3 linked regions of the Oryzias latipes genome follow. The protein of the gene in region 3 binds, or shares a complex with, the protein of the main gene of each other region. Links are inferred from orthologs where the notes say so. Each region holds a gene or a part of one and is shown on either strand. Other genes may lie near its edges. The genes, in order: vti1b, bet1l and syntaxin-4.

Region 1 (4,290 bases), on a different chromosome or scaffold from region 3:
AGGAGGAGGAGGAGGAGGAGGAGGAGGAGGAAGAGGAAGAGGAGGAGGAAGAGGAAGAGAAGGAGAAGGAGGAAAGGAGGAGGAGGAGGAAAGGAGGAGGAGGAACACGAGGAGGAGGAAGAAGAGGAGGACAAAGAGGAGGAGGAGAAGGAAAGGAGGAGGAGGAAAGGAGCAGGAGGACAAAGAGGAGGAGGAGAAGGAAAGGAGGAGAAGGAAAGGAGGAGGAGGAAAGGAGGAGGAGGAAAGGAGGAGGAGGCGGCGGCCTCACTCTGTCTCTGGTTCGGTCCAGCTGCTCCCTCTGCCCCCCCAGCTCTTCGATGATGTCTGTACCGATCTGCTCCGTCTCCACGGCGATGCGCTGGCTGCGCTCGATGCTCTGCGTGGCGTTGTTCAGGTAGTCCGTCCCCTGAAGCAGCAGCGACCTCTGCGACTGCAGGTGTGTCTGCACCCCCCAGGGACAAACAGGAAGTCAGGAGGTTTCCAGAACACCTGTGAGGCGTGAAGGTCCACACTCACACTCTGCTGGTTCTCGGGTGAATAGAGGCCCTGGCGGTCGCCGTGAGACGTCAGGGGGGCGGGGCCGAAGCCGGGAGCAAAGGTTTTCATGTCCCTCTGCAGTTTGCCGATGTCTCTGCGGTACAGACGCAGCTTGGTGCTCATGGCGTTTCTGTAGGACGCCGGCGCCGCACGGAGCTCGTCCTCCATGCCCTGCAACTGTGAGAGAAAATCCAAGTCCATTTGATCAAAAAGATGGATTTTAGCGTCTGAAACGACTATAGAAACGCCGACAAGGTTCAAGAAAAATGGAATTATTAACTCTTCAGTTAAAAAAGAAATTACACCTGAGACATGGCAACCATTAATGGATTATTTCTATAGACAAGTCAACCTCTACTTGAACATTTAATTGTAAAATCTGCAGGGTATTTGTTTGTTTTGTTGTTCTTTGCTTTTCTTTTTTTTGGTATTGTTTGCTGTAAAAAATAAAAATAAAAAAGAGGGGAAAAAACAATAAAACATTTTTTTCTTTTATTTCAAATGAATGAAAAGAACAAAAAGAAATTTAAAATAGAAAACTAAACTTAAAGCTGCATGCAAACCATGTAACCATAATCACACTGTTCATTTCAAATAAATGTAAAAACAGTATGAAAAAAAGAAATTAAAGGTTAATCAGCTGATAAACGCACAATGACTTCATGTGAAACTAGAAGCTCGTTTTCCCTCCAACAGGAAGAGATGAACAAAATTTGATCAAATATTCTTATTTTTGTGTGTGAAACGCAACCAAATATTTGAACTTTGACTTCAAGTCTTCGCTGGTTCTTGACTGTAGCACCAAAAACCCCAGTTTGATTTTTTCAAAGCCTTTTTTAAAAATTAATATTTAATAATGAATGTGCCATCTGTTGTGTTTAACCGCAAAATGACTCCATGAATGTGAGCCGTCAGGAAGGAGGACATCTGCTTACCACCTCCTCAGCCTCTCCCTGCCGCTCATCGAAGCTCCTCACCAGCCTCTTCCTCTCCTCTGCAGACCAGAGCACACAGGTTACAGAGGCTCCTTCCATCCATCCATCCTTTCAAACACCCACTGCCATGAAAACGATGGGGGACATGTATAACATGTAGCTTATAACTGCCTTTCTGAGTAATTCTTTATTCAAATCGTTGTGAATCGGGAGCGGACGGAAAAAAAAGCAGTTTGAAAAACGTATATTTGCGATGTGTTGCACCTGTAACGTCAGGTTGAGGGTGTGAGAGGCTGTAAGCAGGAGAGCGTGTAAACAGACGGGTGACGGGAAGTGGGGGTGGGCTTACTCCTGCCGACAGTCCCGCCCACAACTCTGACGCAAATTTCTAACAAACTGCTGTCCTAGAAAACGACACAGCTTCTTGGCTAAATAAAAAAAAACATGATCATAATTTAAGACGACTTTGGAAATAGATCAAAAGATGATCAGAGTGAGATTTTGTTAGTTTTATTCATTCATAACCCAGGAGACGTACAGTAAATAATAAAGACCATTACCTTGTACATCAATTATAAACACCAGAGGGATAAATATACAAAAATAAAGTTATATGAAATGACAAACCTGAGCAAAATGACAAGTATGAATTGCTTCTTTGTTTGTATTGGGGGAAATGGATTGTTAGTAAAATCTAATTTAAGTCGATCAATCAAAACAATTGGGAGCTTTATTGCTAAATTTAGTTTTGTGAATAAAATACTTAGTAAAATCAGGAGATTCGTTAAATCAAATTAAGACGAATGTTTATTATCATAATTAATGAAACCAAATAAGATGTTTTTTCCATGCAAGTCCCAAAAAATATGCATCAACAACGTTTCCTCAAATGAAAACAGAAAGAACAGTTTTTCTGTTTTTAGCCTTTGCATAAACTGATTTGTTGGATGAAACCTATGAATGATCTTGAATGAAACCTCTTTCACTTTGTTTTTTAGTGAGATTTTAAGAACACAATGAGCAACAAAGAACATGATCCTCGTTTACCTCCGTGACATTTCGCGGCTCTGTCAGGAATTAACTTCAGCTCCTCGTACAAAGATCTGTAGATTTCCTGCAACTTCTCGAATTCCTCCGACGACATTTCTCAGGGATCAACCCGGATAGTTCCTCCTGAATACAGTTATTATTGCTCCTCCTGAATATAGATATATTCAAGAGTCTTAAAAGGTTTTTTTGTAGGTGGAAAGGTTAAGATAATCTGTTTGTTTTGCTTCCTTCATCATCAGAACCCGGGATTCTTCCGCATGATGGTCCTCGTGACCAAAAGGACTAAAATTCCGTAAAAGAATGAAATAATCGGTTGTGTTTTACACATTTAAAAATTAAAATAGTGTTAAAGATACCATTTTAAATTTATTTTTTATGAACTGTATCACACAATATTGCTTATCGGAATTTTAAAAGGGAAAAGAGTAAAGATTTCTAGTCAGGCAGTTAAATAGACACCTAACATTGGCTCCAGGGGAAATTGGGAAGTGTAGTTTATTGATTTCGTTAAACAGAAGAGTTCTAAATTGAATCTTTAGTTACAAGAAAGAAAATGTTTTGATTTAAATTTATGTGTACAATTAAAATTAAATTAGATGCGATTTCTATAATTCAATTTTTGCAACTGATTCAAATAGGCCTACTGGTATATGTGTTACTCAACTTACTATTATTTTAATAAATAAAAGGATATTTGTAAAAATAAAATAAAACCTTCACTACAAATTGAGTTTTTGTGCTGAAAATGCATTTTTAGTTTTTAAAAAGTTAATATTATTTGAATGTTTTATCTTATTTTGTTCGAGGACAACGTATAATAATGCAATAGATATTCTAAATAAATGTTATACAGAAATAACCAGAGGCAGCTTTCAGTTTTATGAAGTGATAACGGCAACTTAAATGGTAATTGATTCTAGTGATAATAATAATAATTGTTCAAATGATAATAAATCATATAAATGTATATACATTTATTTAAATTTTTTTTGCAAAATATAAGGCTGTGGGAGGATTTAGATTTAGCTGTTGTGTTTATATGTTTTTGTCTTTTTTTCCAATTTCTTTTACAAAATTCAATCTACAATAATTGACATTTTTCCATGTTTTACTTCGAATTCTGGCATTACATTTCTTAAATTAAACTATAGTTTTGTATTCCTTTATAATGAACCGTTTCTCACTCATCCTTTACGATTTTTCTTACTGTTTTTTAAACACATTTAGTTTGTATATATATCTTTTGGCATTCATTCTAATCTTTCCTGCTGCTACGTGAAATTAAAAAACAACATTTTTTTTGTATTTGACCTCCAATGTAAAGGACTACAAAACACAACAATGACTACAATCCCACAATCCTTTGCACGTGCGCTCTCGGTGCCGCTGCGCCCCTCCAGCCCTGACATCAGCTGCTCAGCCCCGCTCTGCCCACACATCCCTGACGTCCGGCCGGAGGCAGAGGCCCGTGGAAGCGCTCAGATGTGGGTCTTGGTGATCATCGCGGGGATCGGGGTGGTGACGCTGCTGCTGCTGCTGTTCGCTCCGCACATACGGTGAGCTGCAGCGGGGACCCGCTGTCCCCCCATCGCGGTACCTGCACTGCTGTGACGTCATCAGCACGGAGGCTGGCTTTGCTTTTTAACCCCAGAGGTGTTTATTTGAGTCAGCCGCTTTGATTTCGGTGTGAGTTTTGTCTCAAATCCGCTAAACGGTGACGGAATTTTGAGTGAATCAGAAAAACGTTTGAGCACCGGGATGAGGCGGC
Region 2 (2,870 bases), on a different chromosome or scaffold from region 3:
TATACAGGAAACATGAGGAAAATTAAGATTAAAATCGAGTATTTCCTTTACTCAAATCATTGGGAATCAGATCAAAACAATCAGCTGGAAAAGATTGTATTTAATATGTAAAAAATCCACTGAGCAGCTCTCCATTCAGATTCATCCACTGTCAGACAAATACATCCATGAACTTTTGTTTTCTGGATGCAAACTGTACAGCTGGATAGCTGCAATATTGCTCGCCATTTTTTGTTGCACCAGTAATGTTAGAACGGGAGTGTGTGCGCCAACAGCCCCGCCCACGACTCAGAGGTTGATTTCTGATGAACTCCTGGCGCTCTGCAGAAACTATGTCCTTGAAAATGACACAGGCTTTTTGATTTTGGCTGAAAACCGCATCATCATAAAAGACCACGGGTAACACCTTTACAATAGACCAAAAGGTGATCGGAGTGGGACTTCAACTCGTTTGACAAAAACTGATAAAAATAAATGTGTGCAAGAAGAACAGAGAGAGAGAAAAACAAATATTTCCAAAGGAATTTAGGACAATAAAAAAACAGCTGATACCTTTTTCACTATTCTGGACTTTCCTTCTCTGCAGTGATATCATGCGTAATCTTTAACTAATAATAATAAAGTGCTTCAGTTGTTGTAGATTTTTAATGGAGACATAGTCTGGGGTCACTTGTATGTAACTGTCAGCATCATTGACATGTGATGCCAATTTATAATTTTTTGTTTGGCTCAGAAACTTTGACTTCCCCTGTGCTGCAGAGCTGATCTTTTCTTGTGAGGTGTCCCCAAGTTGGAACAAGAAGGGTTTTAGTGAAGGTAAGGTTTTTGTTTCCACAACATCAGTGGAGTTCTCTACACCTCTCTGATTATCAGTCTGGCGTTCCTTCCATTGGGGATTCGAAGAAAACTCCTCTTCCTTGCATGTAAACTTGGATCTATACTCTATAGATTCAGCTTCACATCATCCGTAGGTCTCTGGCTGAGAAGGTTTTTCTGAAATCACCGCTGGATCCTGGAAACCAGGTAGTAGAGCATGAAGAAGATGAGAACCAGCCCCAAGGAAACGTAGCAGAGGAGGCGGCGGTTGTCTCTGCCGGATCGAACCATTGTGGAGAAACGCTTCACGCTTCCGGTCAGCAGCCCTGTTGCACTCATCATATTTGAGTCCTGAAAGAGGGAGAAGAAGTTAGTTGTTGTTGCTGGAAGTCTTTGAATCTTAATTATTTGGTGACCAGCTAAACCATTTCAGAAGTAGGGTTAGGAAATATGACCAAAATGTCTCGTTTTATATCCCAGTATCAATATTCTGCAAAATCCGATTTTGTCTGTAAATTCAATAAACAAATAGTTTAAATAAAGTTGTGCAGTAAAGTGCAGTTTGACAGTTATGCAGTATTAAACAAAGTTAGTTGGAACTTAATCTTTATTTTATTTAGAACCTGTTTTCAATCAAGATCTTTAACTTATGCTATTAGAATATTTAACGTGTACGAGTGCACACTGTAACGGTGTCTGAACCTTTTTGAGTGCTTATGTCATCACTCTATGCTGCGGCTCTAGCTCATACACTGTGTTTTTTGTCGTAGTTCTATCGTTGCTGATTAAATAGGTTTGTTGTGTTGGAAGGGAGTCACAATATTTACAAAACCCCGTCGTCTGGTCCCAGTCAGTCTTATATCCAAACCACATCCCTGGGACAGAAGTCGTTTCAGTCTTAAGGGCCGTACACACCGGGACGAATATTCGCCAGGCGTTATTCGCCAGCGTCTTTCGCCACGTCTTTTGTGTTCACACCCAGGCGATTTTCGCTGACGATGAGCCGAGCGAACATGCAATTTCATTCCCTGACATTAAATGGCGCTTAATGTAAACAGAAATACTCCTGTACACAAGGTGGCGCTGCGCAACTTTACGCTTCTTAAAGTCGCTTTTCACTCAGAAGAAGAGAGCAAGTATTTACGCGTTTTTCAGAATCATACAAAGAAAACATGAATATTTCAAGCACCAGTTGCTCCAACTGGTGCTTGGTTCGGGGATATTTTAGAATGTCCGTCATTATTTCTTCGCGGCAGTGTAGACGCTACTTGGCGTCTATCTTCTTCGCTGGTATGTGTGCTCAGCAAGGCAGTTTTGTGTTTGAGCGCCCCCAAGTTGTGTTTTACTGTAATTTCAGAAGCTCCAGACACGTGTGCAAAAGCGCCATTCTCATTGGTCGAATAGTTTGACGCGCGGCGAGGCCCGTACAAAAAAAAGAACCCGAGGCGTTTTTTTAAAACATGACGCTTTGACGCGTGGCGTTTTTTCGCGTCGGTGTGCACACTCACATTGGTGCCCTTTGTTTAATCACGAGGCGTTAAACGTCGGCGAATATCGCGGGCGAAATTCGTCCCGGTGTGTACGGGCCTTTAGATTTGGGTTGGGTAGTCGTTTGGTTTAGAGTAACTCCGGCTGAAACGCATCTGCTACCATCTTCCGCCAGTTTTGTTTGTATGGTAGAATAAGGTGGATTTGGATGTTAAATGGAACCAGAAAGAGCTTTTCCATGCCGTAAAGGATGTAGACATTTTCTATACGAGGCTAAACCTAACTTTCTTTAGGGTGTATTCAGACTTAAAAAATTCTTTGTTCCGGATCGAGTCCCAAACCTTGTGTTTGGTCTGTATTCAAACTTTCATCAAGCAGACCATTCTGTTCCAGACCAAAGCTTGTAAACAAAACCATGTGACTAAAGATCTCTTCAGTCATTGGCCAGGAACTACGAGGACGGGTCAAAGCAACAAGAGAAAGACGGACGTGCTGCACTTTACAATCCGTATTGAGACTGTTAACGTAACCCTTGTGCTATCCTAGGCACTTTACCATTGGGAGTT
Region 3 (4,093 bases):
TCTCATATTTGCTTTTATGTATTACCTAGCTCTATAGGTAATATAATCATACATGCAGAAGTGTTTGTGTCCAAGTTCTGTTTCACAGGAAGGTGAAGGTGAAACTCTTGGGAGGAAACCGACTATCTTAGCGTCTTCCCAAGATCAGCATGAGAACTATGTGGTATCTGTGTCAAGACCGGAATCAAAGGACGCTCTGTGTCAGTTATCCGTGAGAAAAGGCTTTGCAGGTCCAAAGATGATGTGGGGAGACTGTGATAAGATGGACATGTTGCAATTAATATTTTCTGATGGCGCTGCAGTTGTGTTCAATCTGTCTTCCACTCCTTAGAGCTCAGCGCATGTGTAATTTAGGGAATTCCCAAAAAACTTAATAAAAGAGGAGGCGACAGAATATGTGAAAGAGTGGAGAGAGATTGTTGCTGGGTATTATCTCTGTTCACTCTTATTTTAACTCTTGTTTTAATTTTTAATTTGACAAAATGTTTGATTCATATTATTTTGTTCATATGTCAAATGAACAACAAAGTATTATGGCCACTATAAAAGCAGAAAAATTAACATTTATATATGAAAAAAGGTGTAAAATACAAAAAGTTTACATTTTAGAAGAACTAAGAAAACAATTACTACAAAAACGTCATGCAATTATCAAAAAGAAATTTTACAATTTTCAAGAATAAAGTCATATGTTTAAACTGTAAAAACTTGCAATTTTCAAAGAGATGTCATGCTTTTTTTCTTAAGTAAAGTGTTAAATTTAGTTTTTAAAAATTTTCAACTATGACAATTAAATGGTTCCTGTTTAAATGATGTTGCAGAGAAATTTGATGAATATCTATCACTTTGATTATGATTTTTTCTTTTTTGTTTTCTTTTTTGTAATTGCACAACTTTAGTTTCATGAAGTTATAACCTTAATTTAAAAAAACATGACTTTTTCCTTTTTAAATAATACATTTTCAACTTTATTTTTGGTAAATGTTGACTTTTTCCCCACAATTTTACGACTTCGTTCTCATATTTATATTATAATTTCATAATCATATTTGCTATTTATTCTTATTGTCAATAGTAATATAAAATAATAGTATATAATCATAAGTAATATAGTAATACTCTGTCAATTCTAATACTCCGTCGTACAAATATAGTATGGTTCTGGCTATTCCAATTGAATTAAACCAAAGCAGGTTTTGTTGCCTGTAGTAAAGGTGTCTGTCACAAGGGGGCGCCATCGATTAAATTCTGTTTGTTTGAACCGCAGAGGAAGAACTGTGAGAACTGTTGCTCTGGAGTTAAACTTGCTGAATGACAGCAGTGGAAAGTCCGCAGCTTTTGTTGCTTGGGAACCGTTGTCCTTCCTCGGCCGCGTGCTCGCAGCGTTTCCGACACCAACTCTGAACATCGACATCAAAAATGCGGGATCGAACAAAAGAGTTAGATAATGTAAGTTTTAAAGTTGGTGTGTTAGCAATAGCGTTAGCTTGCTAACCTAGCTGTATTGATTGTTTAAGTGAACTTTGAAATGCTTCGGTCTCTGATTATTTATTAACTGTAAGCCCGCATATGAGAGCAAAACAATATACCCCCCCCCCCCCCTTATTTTCTACGCTTGGAAGCACTTGTGGCGATATTGCTTTGCTAACGTCCGCTTGAGTTCTTCCTCCAAGGAAGCTGTCAGGCCGGGATAAGGGCAGGGCTCCCGGCTGCAGATCTGAACCGGCACCTTCACACAGCTCTGTTTCATCCTCCTCTTGTGTGTTTCTGTCCACCTCACCGCAGAAAGCCGAGGCCTCAGATGAGGAGAACGAGGAGAAAACGGCTTTGATGAGCAAACCTGGCAGCTCTTCAACAAAGGAAGATAAGGAGAATGAGGCTTTTTTCAAAAAGGTGATCATCCAAGTTTTCGATCTGGGCTCCTCCAAATGATTTGTAGTATTATCAGATACCGGATGTCCTGGGAAATGCTCCTCCAATGGGCCTCTGCTTCATGTTTATGAGACAGAGGACAGAGCTGAAGGTTTAGCTGTAACACACACAATTGTTTTGCCGACATTAAATTCTCCTCTAATCCCAGAACAAAAGGAAAGTAAATAAATATAAAAGGTCAACTATGAAGCTTTAAATATGAGTGAAACATTAACGGACAACAAACACTGGCCTGTATGTAGGGCTGCACTTAACAATATAAATAAAAGACTTTTAGTGGAAAAATGCAGATGTCCATAAAGTTTTGACATTTTAGTTGATTGTAGCCATCTTTAGTGTGTAAGACCTCCACTTATTATTTGATGCTACAGTTTACCAACTGTCCACGAAAGCAGCATTACTTTTACAGTGAGGGGAAAGAAATGCCATGTTTTATTTTGAAAATCTCTGAAAAGAAAGTTTAAATAAAGTGTCATAGAAGCTGCTATAAATTATGATCATGATGTTCAACTTGTTGCAAACTGTAGTTATAATGATCTAGAAGAGAAACATTAAAACAGAAAGAAGTAAAGAGAAGCATTTCCATATATTATCACGGTTTAACTTTTTAGGTTTTTTAAGTTTTGATTGAACTTTAATTGTTTGGAAAAAATAATTTCTATGCTAAGCATTTCCCCCCCCCCAAACAATAAAAGGGCTTTAGCAACAGAAATCCTCTTTTCAGGTTTTTATTTTAGTTTGGCTGAGTGAAAGAGTCAGACGGACACCAACAATAACACACAGTTGTTTATCCAACTGACTTTTTTCTCACATTAGAAAATCTTAGGATACTTTTTGTATCAGTTAAATGAAACATGTTCAAAGGTGTTGGTTTGTAATAATGGTGTTTCTATTTTCTCCAAATTTCTTTATATTTTTAAAATTCAGATGTTTTTCTTTGAGGGAGGCTGGAGTCAGATACCATCAAGATGGCAAAAGTTTCTGAGCATGTCTTTCAATCCAAACCATTTGTGAGGAAATCAAAATAAACTAAGTAAAGAGAGATGAAATCATAAAGTCAAGGCAGTTATGGATTTTATTTAAAGTCAAGGATCCATTATGATCTATAAACCTTGAGAAGATTCTAAAATAAGAGTCAGCAGAGGGATCTTTGTTCTAATATTTCCTTGGATTTCTTTTTTTTTTATACAAACACTGCATTTCCCAACCCATTAATTGAAGTTTTCTGATCAAAAAAGGTCAGGATGTTACAGTTGCAGTTAAAGCTGTTTGTCTGGGAAGATGATTTTGCCTGTTAATCCTAAAACTTTACAAACTTCTTTCTAAGGTGCAAGAAATCCACGAGGGGTTGCAGAACTTAAAGAGGATGGTGTCAGAGCTGGAGAACAAACAGAAGACGGTGCTGGGCGTGGCGCTGCCAGAGGAGAGTACGTCAACTTTATGAATTTGATAAATTCGTGTTGCATTTTGTAACAGAGGATCAGTGTAGTTGCACTTTAGGATTAGAACGACGTTTCTCCAGATTTTTCACAGGGATCCCACCAGAGTAAGGCGGGGCTAGTTGGGGGCGCCTTTCCAATCAGATTTTTAGGCTCAATGAGGGCACCAAATATGTTACAGATTAGTTTTCTCTATTGGATCGCAGTGAACATGTTTTTCTTTGTCGTCTTCTTCCAAAATGCAATTAAGGGAGCTCCTTTCATGAGGGTGTCTGATGCTTCTCTGCTGATCAATCAACTCCTGATTTAGTGATTTTTCTCAGTGGCAGATACTTTAGCACACAAAGGTGGTCAAAAATGAAAGGAATATAATAATAAAAAACAATTTTTTAAAAACATTTTTATGAATATCTCCTTGTACTTTGGTTTGTTTTGGGCCAAACACATGGCAGGAGCCCACAACTTGTTTGTACCGTCCAAAATGTCTCTGCTGGAGCTGTGAAAGAAATAAGAAATACAAACATAAATTCCTCCCTTCTCTCTGTCTTTAAATCCTAACGTTTACTCACAGTATCAAGACAAAAATAAATCATAAAAAAGAGGACAATTATTTTGACATTTTCAACACACCCTTCTTCTTTCTCTTCTCCTTTTTTGTTGTTTCTTTTTTTTTTGTGGTAAATGTGTTGAACTGATGCAGCTAACTTTAGTGGTATTTCGTA

Evidence for each region.
Region 1: syntaxin-4 (region 3) and vti1b share a complex: the UniProt entries of both Homo sapiens proteins name them as parts of the SNARE complex. The link is inferred for Oryzias latipes from reciprocal best matches to the Homo sapiens genes STX4 and VTI1B.
Region 2: syntaxin-4 (region 3) and bet1l share a complex: the UniProt entries of both Homo sapiens proteins name them as parts of the SNARE complex. The link is inferred for Oryzias latipes from reciprocal best matches to the Homo sapiens genes STX4 and BET1L.

The regions. Positions count from the first base shown.
Region 1 is NC_019880.2:1,875,721-1,880,010, reverse strand, and holds the start of vti1b (vesicle transport through interaction with t-SNAREs homolog 1B), read right to left. Parts: upstream 2,825-4,290; 5' UTR 2,617-2,824; coding exon 2,520-2,616; intron 1,595-2,519; exon of another isoform or gene 1,572-1,594; coding exon of another isoform or gene 1,532-1,571; coding exon 1,473-1,531; intron 715-1,472; coding exon 517-714; intron 443-516; coding exon 269-442; intron 1-268. Other genes in the region: retinol dehydrogenase 12, read left to right, coding at 3,864-4,078. UniProt on the Homo sapiens protein: V-SNARE that mediates vesicle transport pathways through interactions with t-SNAREs on the target membrane. These interactions are proposed to mediate aspects of the specificity of vesicle trafficking and to promote fusion of the lipid bilayers.
Region 2 is NC_019864.2:3,554,461-3,557,330, reverse strand, and holds the end of bet1l (BET1-like protein), read right to left. Parts: intron 1,168-2,870; coding exon 1,000-1,167; 3' UTR 627-999; downstream 1-626. UniProt on the Homo sapiens protein: Vesicle SNARE required for targeting and fusion of retrograde transport vesicles with the Golgi complex. Required for the integrity of the Golgi complex.
Region 3 is NC_019877.2:19,255,843-19,259,935, reverse strand, and holds the start of syntaxin-4, read left to right. Parts: upstream 1-1,257; 5' UTR 1,258-1,419; coding exon 1,420-1,449; intron 1,450-1,785; coding exon 1,786-1,893; intron 1,894-3,259; coding exon 3,260-3,359; intron 3,360-4,093. UniProt on the Homo sapiens protein: Plasma membrane t-SNARE that mediates docking of transport vesicles. Necessary for the translocation of SLC2A4 from intracellular vesicles to the plasma membrane.